Linked DNA regions of Styela clava. The protein of the gene in region 1 purifies or fractionates together with the protein of each later gene. This does not show direct contact. Links are inferred from orthologs where the notes say so. Each region holds a gene or a part of one and is shown on either strand. Other genes may lie near its edges. The genes, in order: COP9 signalosome complex subunit 4-like and denticleless protein homolog B-like.

What was found.
Region 2: the proteins of COP9 signalosome complex subunit 4-like (region 1) and denticleless protein homolog B-like purify together in Homo sapiens (affinity purification with mass spectrometry; 3 studies listed by BioGRID). This does not show direct contact. The link is inferred for Styela clava from reciprocal best matches to the Homo sapiens genes COPS4 and DTL.

Annotation. Positions count from the first base shown.
Region 1 is NC_135260.1:11,660,705-11,667,827, forward strand, and holds the start of COP9 signalosome complex subunit 4-like, read right to left. Parts: upstream 3,294-7,123; 5' UTR 3,075-3,293; coding exon 2,998-3,074; intron 2,284-2,997; coding exon 2,204-2,283; intron 2,094-2,203; coding exon 1,942-2,093; intron 1,463-1,941; coding exon 1,337-1,462; intron 896-1,336; coding exon 764-895; intron 1-763. UniProt on the Homo sapiens protein: Component of the COP9 signalosome complex (CSN), a complex involved in various cellular and developmental processes.
Region 2 is NC_135253.1:12,719,647-12,727,417, forward strand, and holds the start of denticleless protein homolog B-like, read left to right. Parts: upstream 1-4,486; 5' UTR 4,487-4,669; coding exon 4,670-4,760; intron 4,761-5,130; coding exon 5,131-5,216; intron 5,217-5,357; coding exon 5,358-5,394; intron 5,395-5,983; coding exon 5,984-6,283; intron 6,284-6,823; coding exon 6,824-6,990; intron 6,991-7,510; coding exon 7,511-7,637; intron 7,638-7,725; coding exon 7,726-7,771. Other genes in the region: poly(A)-specific ribonuclease PARN-like, read right to left, coding at 1-91; aspartoacylase-like, read right to left, coding at 790-1,734. UniProt on the Homo sapiens protein: Substrate-specific adapter of a DCX (DDB1-CUL4-X-box) E3 ubiquitin-protein ligase complex required for cell cycle control, DNA damage response and translesion DNA synthesis.

The DNA.
Region 1 (7,123 bases):
GTAGGATATGGGGCCTTATTTTCAAACCTACTCGAGTCTGAAGTCGATATTTTGAATTGTACAGAGTTGGGAGTTGGAACTACGGATTTTTATAGGATGGTATCGGAATTTAAAATTCGAAAACAATTGAAACTCATGAACCATCAGGTTAAATAAACATTCTCAACAAAGTCAGCGGTTCCCAAAGGGTGCGCCGTGGCGATTTCTAAGTGCGCCCCGAAAATTAACATAAATATGTTAAATATAACTAATATATGATTGAATACTCCACTTCTGTTGTTGTATTTATTAAAAATGTTTTGTTTCTTTTTTTAAATGCTGTTTATATGAATAAACAAATAATACATTTCACATTTCTATGCTGTTTACTTTCTGTTTCATAGTGTCTGCCTTTATTGTCACGCAACAATAGAGGTAGACACACAATGCAATGTCATGAATTATCTGCTGTACAGAGTTAACGAGCATGGGTGATTTTTTTAGTATTGACTTTTTGTCTTTATTCTTCAAGCCTACACATGTTTACAATCTTCAAAAGACATAAAGTACACATATGAAAGCAGCAATTCTTTTTCGATGGCGCCGCACAAACAAAAGGTTTGGAAACCGCTGAGGTAATGAATTGAAAAGTTTTCATTATGAAAACTTGGGTTTCTTGCAATTCAAGGCTAGAGTAGGAAGTCAAGATTTCGTTCAACCAGTCCGAGGTATGAATCCGCTGTAAATTTATCTTTTTTCTTTATCTATATAGTAAGAACCTCACCTTATAATGGATTTGTAATTGCTCATTTTTGGTTTCATTTTGTAGCATAGATGCTCTATTGATATAGGTTTCTGCCTGTACTGGATCATCATCTTCCAAAAATAATCTCGCAATTTTCAAGTATGTTTCTAACTGAAATAAGAAAGTACAGGTATTATACTTAGAAAAAAGGCTAAATGGGGGTCGCAGTAAAATCTTTTCTGCACTAACTTATGTTGAAATAAAATATCAGTCACATTTGGAAACAAATGGAGGCAAGATTTGATCTTTGGTGCGAGAATTTTATTATTTTTTTCAATATTTTCTGTATTATTAAATTTTACTCATTTCAGTTCCTGGGGGTTGCAAAAAAATTAGCTGTGCCAAGTGGATTGTGATGAAGAAAGTTTTAAGAACACTGGGTATCGTATCTCACTGATAACAAACTAACCCAAGGCGAATAATAATTGAGGGAAATTTCAATGATGAAAAAAGAAAAGTCATGTTCAGACCCATAATCACAGCCATATAGTTCATTATCAACTTTTTCAAGTTACACAGCTGAAACTGGGTATTTCATATTTTGAAAGTTACCTTATAATCATGATCATATTGTTTCTGTCCTGATTCAATGTTAATTCCAACAAGAATTGTAGCTGCGTCTTTCCATGATTCTTCATCTTCATAAACTTTTGCTAAATGTTGTCTGATTTGAGCAACCTGAATAGTATTTTAAAGATGTTTTTATGAGACGTGTACCTTTATATAAAAACAAATATATGAAACCTTGATAGGTTCATGAACTTGAGTTCTTATTACATTATTTGAATTTGAAATTTAAAACATGTAGCCTACTACTACGTAGATACATTTTGCCTGCACGCTAAAACTACCCTGATGCCAGGGAAGGACACAGTTTTAAACTTCATGATAGATAACCATATAGCCAACTAAACAGAATAGGATATATATCAGTTGGTTTAAATACCATTAAAAAAAAAATTGATGTTATATTTCAAGGAGTTACTCCAGGTGTAATAAGGGTGAAAGAAAAAAATAAAAGGGGGTTCAAACACAGACTTAATTTAGAAAGGCATAGGAATGATAACAAATATTCATGCTAAACGACTGAAAATAGATTACATCCCAGTTTATATCTAACCTTTGTCAATCATTTTTCATGAACTTGATAAAAATACCTGTTCTTCGAATGAAATTACTCTTGGTTGAATTCGATCCAGTGCAAAATGACAAACTTCTTTACACATAGCATTATTAAGCTGAGATAGATGTTGGCAAAATTCTGTCATCAATTGACGAGATACTATTTGACTCACATTTTCATTCACCACTAAAAATCAATAAGAACTAAAATAAGGTAAACGGATAATTACATATAAAGGGCCTAACATGCATATATTCGCAGTACTCAAGTTGAAATTTATATTCAGCAATACTAACTTGCATCTATAAACATCTTCAATGCGGAAACTTTTTCATTATCAACCAACTTGAAGCATGCTTCTAATATGTGTTGATATCTGAAATGTATAAAAATATAGACATGTCCTGAAATATGTTTATTTATGATTGATGACTAATACACAGGCAGACAGGTGAAGGGATTGCAATAATATTTTCAAGACTCCAATGCATTTACTGTGAGCTAGCACAGTTCTTTGTCTCTGTTACTATCAGATTACCACACTTTTTCTATGGACTGAGGAAAATATGCCGTTTGATAAGCTTGAAAATTTGAGGAAAGGAAGAATTTATTTTCACAAAAAAACTTGAAAAAACAATAATGGAAGTACACATTGCAGCATTGAGAAATACACATTGTCTGTGGAGACAAAACATAACCAGAAGCAATTTATGAATAGAAAACCTATGTCATTTTATAATAATGACAGAATAGTAGAGATTGAGAAAGTTTGAGGGCATAAAAATGTAAAGAAAGTAAATCTTATCCCAACTAGCCCAAAGATAACGGTAAATATATTAATTCTATACCACCAACAGCAAAACGCAAGAAAAACATGGATTCCTTACTAGCTTAACTAGGTAATTGTATATCAGTATATTCAGATAAATATTGAACAACTTCAAATGAACAATATGCCAAGGCAGAGTAAGACAAAATTGATAGATATCATTTGAATCATGTTAATTGTGTGATTCAATAAAATACATTGCTTAGTCCAGTAGTCAGAAGATGATCACTAGTTACATTTGCAAGCATAAATTTATCTCACCTTTCAGATAAATCTCTATGTGAACTGCTGGCAGCATTATTGAGAACAGCTAAATCAGCGCGAATGTTGGCTGCCATATATCTTTTTATTCGGATAGACTTTTTCTCTTTAACAGAACTGATAATATCGGAATCAAGAACTAAATTTTTCTACATACTCAATAAATGCTCAAATCCGTTGAAACTCTCAGGACTGAAAATTTATATTTAGCAATAGAGTAGAGGGGGTGTTTTTTCTATGAAGCACTAGCAGTGACTACTGAACTGAGAAAGAGGAACGGAGGTTAATTTCCACAAACTATGCGATTGTGAACACTGGAATATAATACCGAAAAATATTGAAGAAAATTTCTGGTGTCAAAGGTCGGGGAAAATACATTTGTACAACACAGCGTGGTTGCAGTTAATGGTTGTAACTGGTTTTCAAATAATAAAATAGAACAATTTAAACAAAACTTTTAACTTTAAGTCAATAACTAATATTCCCAACACACTTTTCGAACTGAAGAACCGAAGCAATAATCGCAAAATCGATCAAACTGTTTTTGTTTGTTTTATGGGGATATTTTGTTACGTATATTTTCTATCAATGTATATGATGTCTATCATTGCTACACTAAGAATATTATGTTAATTAATGGACTTGAACCTGCCACCCTGTTGTAATTTTCAAACATTTATTGGTGCTTATTCCTGTCGAACACGAGACCAATCGCTCATTCTCTGCTGCTGGCGTATGACTTCGTCTACACGTCTTTGGTTTTTACGCGTGTCGTAATGTCGTTGACTTGGTGTAGTTCTGCTGCAGTTGGAGAAACAGGGTGTTTTGGGGGATACGATACGATAAGTTATTATATGTTTCGTTACTGTAGAAATTTTTGAATCTATCGTTATCTGTCATATATTTAAAAAAATTCGATTTATGTTAGTATAGTTAACGTTAGCCACACGACGGTGAGGTCAGGATAGGTTACGTTTATCAAATTATTACTGTAGCCTATTATTGTTTGTTCATCCTGTCTCCGGATTTCATAATCAGTTCTTATTTATTTACCAATCATTTTACTGTTATGCTGATTATGGAGTCGAAATAAACTTATACTTACAGTCTCGATTAAACCTGTAAACGTTTGCGAATTTTCGGTTGGGTTTGCTTTTTTGTACCAAGACCCCAGACTGGATTCCATGGCAGGTGCACGCCCGAGGGCGCTAGCGCTCCGCAAAAATGCACGCGAGCGAAATCAATTTTGCACGCCGAAAATTTGCAATTGCTCACCAATGTAAATCGGTTTAAATGGTTTTAAAATCAATAATCCAGTAATATAAAGATGCCAAAATATTATAACTCCACAATTGTCGACAAATACCAGCTTGCAAGATTTGGTCTGATCGAAATATTGCGAAGCAAAAAGACAATGGACCTTTCCCCAACCTTTGACCCGCGAAAAATTCCTCTCATTGTTACGTCCTTTTTTGCATCTTGCTGATTGGCCAAAGCCACGAAGTAAACAAGGAAGTCGATGCTCGGGGAAAGGTCCATATCGTGTTGAATGATAGGAAATAGGAATCCCGTGAGAATAGTTATGGACGAAAAGATCGCCTCCGCACCAATGGCCAAGTACGGCTCTGATTCAGCGTATTTTTTATACAATAATTTTACACGAATGTACTGAACAGTACCGGTATCTAAAGTTGCTCAAACACTCCCAAAATTAGTGACAAAGTATGAAAATAATGTTTGGGGTCAAAGGTCAAACGTCCATTTTGCTCTAATTTGACGTATTTTTTATCCATTAATTCTACGTAAAAACACTACCAAAATTAATGACTAAGTATGTCCATTTTGCTCTGGTTCAACGTATTTTTTATCCAATAATTTTACGCGGATGTACTAAACAGTACCGGTATCCAAAGTCGCACAAACACTCTCAAAATTGGCGACAAACTGTAGAAATAATGTTTGGGGTCAAAGGTCAAACGTCCATTTTTTCTCTGATTCAACGTATTTTTTATCCGATACCGGTAATTTTACGCGGATGTATTGAGAGGTATCTGATGTCGAAGTCAGTTGCACGCGAGTGCAGTTGTTTTGCACGTCGTGAGCTATAATTGCACGCCAGGAATTCTTATTTGCACGCGGGAATTTCTGATTGCACGCCCGATTTCTCGTTCAAAAAGGCCATGAAATCCAGACTGGCCAAGACCTGATAACTGGATAACAGAGTTCAAAATACCATATCCTATTTCAGTATTTCATCATACTAAATTTGAAACAAAAATATTATTAGCTGAGCATGAAGATTGTTATTTTCCCAAAACCTGTAAGTTAAATCAGCCTTTCAGAGTTAGTTCCAATTCTGCAATAAGATCAGCATATCATTTTCTATTCAGGCCCTTGAGTATGTGAGAATGAGAACTTAATTTAACTTTTATTGTATTATCAGGGATCAAACATGGGCATTTTCTCTACTGATTTTTATCTGTATTTATATATTTTTCTTTTTTTTATTTCCTAATTTTATTTCTCGTTTTAGATTGAATCATGATAATTCTCCAGTAATTTATGTAAGCTGTTTTCAGATTCAAATTTACTTCAGTAGGCTACTTTTTACAGTACCTGGGGGGAGGGGGAAATTGATATTTTTAACATTGTAAGCCCAATAACCAATTTGACATAATGATCTTTTTTTCCTTGTATATCTGTAACATATCTCAGTATCTTGTTTATATTTTTTTCCTAGTGATCTTGCCATCACCATTTTATTTATGTTTTTTTCCTTTGAAATTGAAATTTTTATAGATTTATATTTGAATTCAGGTATTCTCAATCATATATCTGTATATGGGCCATTCCAAGCAAATGTTAAATTTCATCAATTTATAAAAAAAAGTAATTGTGAAAAAAGTGAAAGTAATTGTTTTGTATATTTTATATCAAAAGACAATTGAAGGTTATTGGACTGCATTCATTTCATGGATAAATTTAAAATTACACCCAGGTTTTTGATAATTTACACAAAGTGGCCTGAAATAAAGAAATTTTGGACCTCCTGAAGGAGGCGCAGTTCTTACCACTTCATGGCAGCTCCTGCCACGAACGTACCACGCCGTCTCCTGCCATGGTTTTATGGCGCTATTACCGGTATATTTACAAATTCATGTACCATATTTTAGTTTATCATGCGAAATTATATCTACTTAAACCCTAACCCCAAATCCATCCAAACTGTATCCATAAGAAAAACATTCCAACTCACCAAGTATTTATCACCATCAGCAAATTAGGGGCAGCCCTGCTATTACAGCCGACCTGCCGTGGTTACGGCAGTAAAATTGGTGGTATTCGATTTGCTGCCGCAACCACGGCAGCTCGCTATTGGTTTGTGGCAGCTAAAAAGTCAGTCGCCGTGGGTTTGGTCTTAGTGGCCATGGTTTGGAAATCCCGCCATGGTTTTGCGGCAGCTGTAGACGCCACAAAATACTTGAAACTGCACTTGTCCTGAAGTGTGCGCACCAAGATGGCGCACAACCTGAATTCAGATTGTGTACCAGGTTAGGGTTCAGGTTATGCGACATCTTGGTGCGCATACTTCAGGAGCACCGAAATTTTGATATAATAGGCACGTTTTGTGATGAATCGTAACATGAAATGTTTGATTATGTGGTACAGTTATTTAATTTCAAATACAGAAATAGATGCACTGAATGCGCTGCTCCTAATGCGCTGCGTGCAATGAGACTTTTAGGGTACCACCACTAATGGAACTTAAGTCAATAAAGCCTAGGTGTTTGCAGTGCTGTAGGACATGTCTTCATCTATCTAACAATTTATTACCAGAATTTTAAGAGATGATAGAGGGTGCTGTTCCAAAATGGGGCAAATGTTCTGTAGAGTCATGCCGGTAGAGTAACATACATTGTGCCCATTATTGGCATGGATCTACAGTTTTACATTACGGTAAGTTACTTATTAAGCAACTCATAGAGGGGTTCTTCAGCTACTGCACCATCAACACAGTAAAACGGTAATGCATGGTGGATTTGCTGTCCTGTGGAGTCTCGCTATATTTTAATATATATTTTATATCCACTAAGTAAGTCTTGTATGTAAGTTTTGTGCAATTTTG
Region 2 (7,771 bases), on another chromosome or scaffold:
ATTCACCATCCACGGCAACAAAATTTGCTTCTGAAACTGCTTTTTCAACAATTTCATACGTTTCCTTGAAATTATGCCTGGTAATATCCATTTTTATTGATCGAATTAATTTCTAAATACTGGAAAACATTGAGATTGTAACAATGAACACCTCGTTTTATTATCAATAATTTGAATCATATATGTTTATATGATAATCATATGAATATATATGATTGATGATACATGCTGATAATAATATATAATTCGAATCATATTGCACAATTGAAGTACCGAATTATTGCAAAATTTGAACTAGTTAATAAAAAGGTAGGACATAATTTTAAATTGTCAGTTTATTTTATGAAGGGTTATTAGGGAGAAAAATATTGATTAAAAGTAAATTAAAACACTTTGGCACATATGATCGATGATTGCTAAAATGTAATATTTGTAAGGTCATACTTAAATAGCAAATACTTTGGTTTATTGTACCATTTCGTTAATAAGGAAAGATAGGAATTCAATATTAATGTGCAGAAAGAATTGTTCCAATTTTCCTAACTTACTCAAATATACTCAATTGTTAATAGGTAATTAAACACACCATGCTAAAGATGCAATGGTTTTGGCAATATTTTATGCAAAATAACTGGACAAAAACGAAACAGATATTAACATATTCAGACAAACAGATAGCATAATGCATTTTAATTCATAGAAACTGCAATTTTATAATAAAAAAATAATTCCCTGCTCTTGAATACATACATATTAATCTTGAATAGATAACTGGCAATCAAAAAATATTCACTGAAATTCAAATGATTTTTTCGATAGCTTTTTAGCACATACATTATACTGAGTGGTCAAATAAAATGCAATGCCTTTTTCATAATATGCTGCCTCATTAATAAACGCTGGGTAAAATGGACCGCTACTCGAATCCTCTATTACGTCTTTGAGATAAAGAACATTGCCATCAAAAGACAAAAATACAGGATCGTTCAACGTCAACAATTTCCAATCTTGATCTTGAAGACTTGGATGAATCATTGCAGTAAGATGACCTTCCACATCTTGTGGGTACGGTATTTTTGTAACAGCTTCGTATGCTGAAAAATTGACTTCTGGAAATTCCTCACCATTGTTATAGTTTTCAATGAAGTCAAGAGCAAAGTGAACTGATGACTCTTGCAAAGACATTATGTCAGCTCGCAACACACCTTGTGGCTGGGGACCAACTTCTATACCAACTCCCCCATATTTTCCTAATCCTCTACCAGAATCATAACTCACATTGCCAGCAAGGGACATAATATAACACATTCCCTCTGGTAAATGTGTTGATACATAATGCATTAAATGCATATTAAAGTCATTCGATTCCATGTGAAGGAGACTAACTTTATTATTTGCTGTTGTATTGTGTAAATCAAGTATAAATTCACATTCGCCAATTTCTCCACCTTCACTCAACATTCCTTTCAGTTCTTTTGCTCTTCTAACTTCATAGGGTGTGTTTTCATTTATTTCAACTTTAAAATTTTCAGGAGACATTTGCCTGTTTAAATCCACATCCTTATACCGTCTAACCAATTTCACAGCAATTGGATTAGCAATTAACATTTTTGTTTGGAAGGTTGATCTGGTAACTGATTCTGGATTTTTCTCCCATTTTCTCACCAAATGAACACCGGACATCTCATTGCCATGCATTCCTCCAAATATGCAAATTTGTTTCATGGAAGCCATAATCTTTGAATTTAAAAGTTTGCCAAGATAATTGAGAAACTTTTTGTGATTACCTTGCGTATTTGCAACGCCGATAAAAAGCAAATTCTCATTTGGTCACTGTTCCCCCGAACTTTGACCCCATAGATTTATTTCTTAATCTTGCCCGTAAATGAATGGATGTTTCCCTGAACATCGAATTCCTTGTTTATTGCCGTAACAATGACCAATCAGCAATACGGCAACATTGAAGTAACAATTGGAATTTATGCGGCCACTCAGACACTTCTTTGGCTCAAACAGATATTAAAGAATGGTTGTAAACATTGCCTCGTTTTGTGTTTTGCGTGTTGGTATTTCTCAGTTTTCAGTTGTGTTTCCGAAAAATAGTTGTAAATCAAATGTCTTATTTGGAATCATGCCTTCCGAAGACATTCAGTTTAGTTGCAATAATTAAAAGTTGATTACAAGCTGAAAGCAACTATTTGATTTAAAATATTCAATCACTTACCAATAGAATGCCGAAAACTTAATTAACATACCTACTATATATGATTGAATTTTTACATATTGCATTTATTATAAATGTTTTATTGTTTCTTATTTAAATGCTGTGTATATGAATCAATGAATTCATTTTACCTTTCCATTACGTAATGTTTGCCTCTAATGTTACGTAACAATGGAGATAGAGATATTTGCTGCAATTTAGCAAGATGCAGTTTATTTATCTGCTGGATCGAGTTTAGCGATGTTTGCCTATTGCAAAACCAAAAAGATTGCTGTAAACTCAATAATGAACTTGTCAAAAAGCTAGGCCGACGGTTAACGAAAATACCACTACCCTCAAGAAGTTAGTCCGACGGTGACTCGATATTAAACGGTCGTCAGTATGGCGACAACTTCACGCGATCCCGAGATCGTCATGTCGACCACTTCAGATGTATTTTTGATTCATTTTCCACGGAACACTCGGAAGACGCTGCGTAACACAGTTTGGAGAAACGCTGAGTCCTAGTCCATAGCAAGAAATCTATCATACACGTTTTGAATGATTAATAATCTATGTTCAGCATTTATTCTGAATTAAAACGTGTTATTTGTAGGTAAATGGCAATCAATTTTCAAATTTTGTATATTAGAAAACCTCGTAATTTTCTACTTCGTAATTTTGTTTTTAATAAATTAAAATAAAAAGCATCCCCTCAAATAAAGCCCTAGTGTTATTTTTCGAAAGAAATATTTCAGAGAAACACAGTAAGATAAAATTTGAAACTGTATTTAATAGTAATAGGCTATTGGCGACTTCTCCATTTTAAGTACTGAAAAATTAAATTCGATTAATCCGATAAATGCGCGAAAGGAGATTTTTTCGGGTATCGTTTTTCCTAAAAGATCGACAGACGATTCATCACCAACGCTTAGTTGCGGGCGCAATATAGGCCTACCCATACGAGGCGATAGGAAGGCTCAGTGGTGGGCATAATGTTCGCAGGATAAAAAACAAGAGGAAATATCAATATTCGTTGAAATTGCTCAATGCACTAATTCTTTTTCAAAAGCATGTCCATTTTTTTTTTATCTGATACTGTTTTTTATCAGATTGTTTGCAGCATTTTTTAATTGTCATAAAATAACACTGAAGAAAAAGTAAAGATAGGTGAAAATAAAATGTCTACGTTTATGCCAGGAGTGTGACGTTTCATCCGATTACTGGATCTAGGTAGAAAAGAACAAGACTTGATATCGGGATAAAGTTTGAATTAGTTGGGACTATTACAATTTAGCCTTTTTCGTCTCAGTTTACGGAATGTGAAAATACCACTATGCCTCTAATGTCAGTAAAATATGAAACGTCAGCGTATATCTAACATATTAAAATTTATGAGAACTGACATCATTATAGTTTTCGCAAAAACATATGCAAATTAAGCATATATATTATTGCATAGGTGAAGTAGGCTCTAATTTTATTGATGTTGGTATCGCATTGCATGGAGTGCAATAAATTAGATAAGCATTTTCGAACCGGGACGATTCTAGCTCTTACAAATAGCAGTAGCTCCTTACATATCGATATATGTAACTGCTTCCACAGGGCCTTGTTCGGAGCAAAGCATGCGAGTAAGCGTCGTATGAAAAAATAAAATGGAAATCACGGACATATTTCAATCGGGACACTCTATATCTTACATTATCGTAAAAACCGCATTTAAATTTGACACAATTGGTGTGTGTATATAGTTATGCCAAACCTAAACAACCCGGAAAATGACTACGAATTCAACACAAACGGATACTGGTACATCTGCACCTCTCTGTTTTGTGTATTGTACTAAAGATTCATTTGTATGTTTCATCAATTTCATGTCTGTTGCCCAACTATTACGCAGAAATCCTAAACTGCTGTTATACCGTGATACGTGTTCAAGACCTTACTGGTGTAAGACACAGTTGTGCGACATGTTTCATGAACCGTAAATTTATAATACGCAACATATACATATATATAGTTTGTACCGAATAACTTTGTGTATGTTGTATATTTTTATTGTTGTTGTTACAATGCTTGTTTTCTAGTTGACGAAACAATATATCGCGCACTCTCTCAAGTTGGTTCTGTTGTTTCCATACTGTCCTTCTCAGTAATTAGTATGACCCATGACCCGACAATTCGCGTGAACAGCGGGAAATCCAAACGCTGCAAAGACGGAAGGCGCCGACGCCGATTTTTTTTCTCTTGGTGATTTACCGTCGGTTACTTCTGTGTAGTAGCCTACATAATTGCCACCATCACGGTACTTCTGTTACTTTTTACTACCGGTTACTTCTGTGTTCAGTTGTTTGCATTTTGCTGTCACAGCATCGCGTTTAAACCACGCTACCGGTACCGCATCTGTAGCTCTATCTTATATTTCATCTTCTGTATTAAGTGGAATTTGCATGTTATGCTGTCATGGCGTTTAACGTGGGAAAATTAACATTTATTCGTCAGATTGGAATGTCAAATACGAGATATCGAAAATGCGTCAACTATAACGAAAAAGGTCAGGTATTTCTTCATATCATATGCCATCCCTTTTTTAACTTTCCGTGATGTGATGACACAATGTTAATAAATCTGCAAATATTCTTGGTCTCATTGCAGCTCGGATTTAAATATATCAAGTACACTGTCTGACTGTATGTCACAGTCTGACAGTATCATGAGACGAAGATAAGGTAGAAGATATTGATTTTTCCAATTGTTTGAACGTAATACTGATATGAAATATCAGAATATCGCCTGATACCGTACTGCTGTACTACGTTATTTTACAAAATCTGAAAATTACATTATAATATAATATAGATTGCAGATATCATCTTATTGTAATTTTTCATCTGCTTTAATATATTTCTACGATTCTTGTTTAGATTTTGTCAATAGTTTCAATCAACATCACATGCAAGACATATTTTGTGCCAATAATCAGAAATATGTCGTTCCTGGGGAACTTGAGGTAACGAATTTAATTACAATTAGTTTAATCTGGTATTTGGAAAAAACAAACATCGCTTTCAGCGATTTTTATGCAAAACACAATTTTTCAATATCAAAAAATATTACATGTTTTAGAATAGATTATTTTTATTTGTTTCAGCCGGAAGTACCCCCATACACAGTTGAATTTTGTACAGGTATGTTCCACAACTTTTCTTTAAGTGATTCGTTTTTGATTTTATTTGATTACATTTTAGGTCTTTATTCTGGTATTTTCCCTTTCTAATTTGATTTCGGCTTGGCGGTGTGGCGCATCGTGCCAAGCGTTAGCAATACGCTTGCTACCACATCTCTGATTACCTTGCGAGGGTTCGCATGTTCGAATCCCGTGCAGAAATAGTTATGTGCGAGTGGATTGCTGGACTCCTCGCCGCTGTAGGGTGGTCAACGTAACCGCTGGTCGGTTACAGCTTCCTTCACCATCAAGTCCATGCTTCGGAAAATAAATAACTGGCTAATCCCATACTCGACGTGGACTGGTATCTGGACGAGAGCCCGTGGTTTTCCATATGATGAAGCCGTCTTATCGGCTTACCCTTCCCAGGATGAATATGTAGGCTAAATCTTGGGTTAGATTATTGCCTTGCCTTTAAATTATCCTAAGCTTGCTTGAAATAATCAGAATCAACATTCAAATCAGTGGTGGGGTATTATCAAGATTGTACTCATTTACCAAAACAAATACATGGCATGGATTTCTTAACTTCAATAAGTATTATTTTTAAGCTTCCGGCAGTGAGCATACATTTGCAGTGGCAGATGAAAATGGAATCGTATCTCTTTTCATTGCTAATGAACCAGTACTGGGAAATGATGCTGATAAAGTATTGAGGCCACTGCATAAACTTGAGGCACACAACAATGCTATATTTGATATTGCATGGATTCCTCACGAACATTCTCTAGCAACTGCATCTGGTGATCAAACAGCTGCATTATGGGACACACTAAAAGGAGAAGTCATAACTGTTTTCAAGGGACACAGTTGTAGTTTGAAATCTGTGAATGTGTCTAAGCACAATTTGAGTAAGTATGTTATCCAATCAAACATCCTCATTGAATCTATTCCTGTTCAAGCACAATGTTCCCCCCAACACATTTTTTTCTTTTATCTATTTATTCATGTCAATCATGTGATCATTTTGAAAGAAGTATTTTTCATCTATGTTTTTTTCGATGTGAGAAAATTTTACATATATGCAAGGTTCAATTTGTGCCTTTCCTGATGGCAATTTAGCCTATTTATCCCGATTACAATTTATGCATTTCTGTATCTTGAAAACAAGCTGTGGATTCTGAGAACATTTACAATCAACTTTCAGATGAACAAAATTTTGGCTCAGACTCCTGATTCATAGTTTTGAAAGATTTGGCTCCAGCATTGAACTCCGAGAAAGTGCAATTTTGATAATGAAAACTTTGGCGTTCTGTAGAATTTGTTATTTTATCACCTTGGAAATATGCAATTCTGACATCATAAAATGCAGAATTTTGACATTCAAGTTTGAAACTACGACTCCAGACTCCACAGTTCTGCTTTACTCTATTTATGGTATTGTTCAACAGATCTCCTAGCAACAGGATCAAGAGATGGGAATGCATTGATATGGGATCGTCGAACTTCATCACAACCTGTTGTTAGAATCCAGGATGCTCATGTGATTAATGATTCTTTAACACCGATGAGAAAACGAAGAAGAGCATTAGCGGTAGACACTGGACAATTGGCCATAGTAAGTTTTATTGTCGCGACTCGCAAAATACTTTTTGAAATTCATTGCTGATGAGCGAATGATATATGTACTTTCACATTAAAAACCAAAAGAGGGCCACTACATACTGGATTAAATTTGACGAAATGAAAGGAAAATGTTTATTCAAATTTTATTTTATTCTGGAAAATTTATCGACAGTTATAAAACTTTATAAGTACTACTGCAGTATGTCTTCTTTTCAAACGTAAACCCAGCACATACAATGCTGAATTTACCACTTTTGATAAATCTATGCAAAGTGAAACTAAAGCAACACAACTTCAAGAATTATTCATAGAAATCAAGTATTTTTCATGAAATCTAGTTTATTTTGTCCAGAAACAATCATAGATACCGTACATAAGATGTTTGTTTTTGTTGTAATATAGCATTATCTACCTTTAAAATTACATAGAGAGAATGGCCTCCCCGACCAGCAATTGCACGAAGACTTAAAAGTTGAATCATTATTAGTTGACATCTTATGTTTGAATATTAGGATTCTCGACAGACTGTTTCGTCAGCGAAATTTCAAGACAGCAACACAGTGATAACATCAGGAGCAATGGATGGAATGCTGAAGATTTGGGATTTGAGAAAAATTCAAACAAAGAAGAAGACGACGGGTAATTATTATCCTACTACCCTCTTAGTGTGCGCCCTTTTACACTACCAGTAATGAGTTCTTGGAATAATTAGTGATATTTTTTCAAGCGAAGGGAATAAAAAGGGATGCTCCTTTAGAGATGATTCCATATCC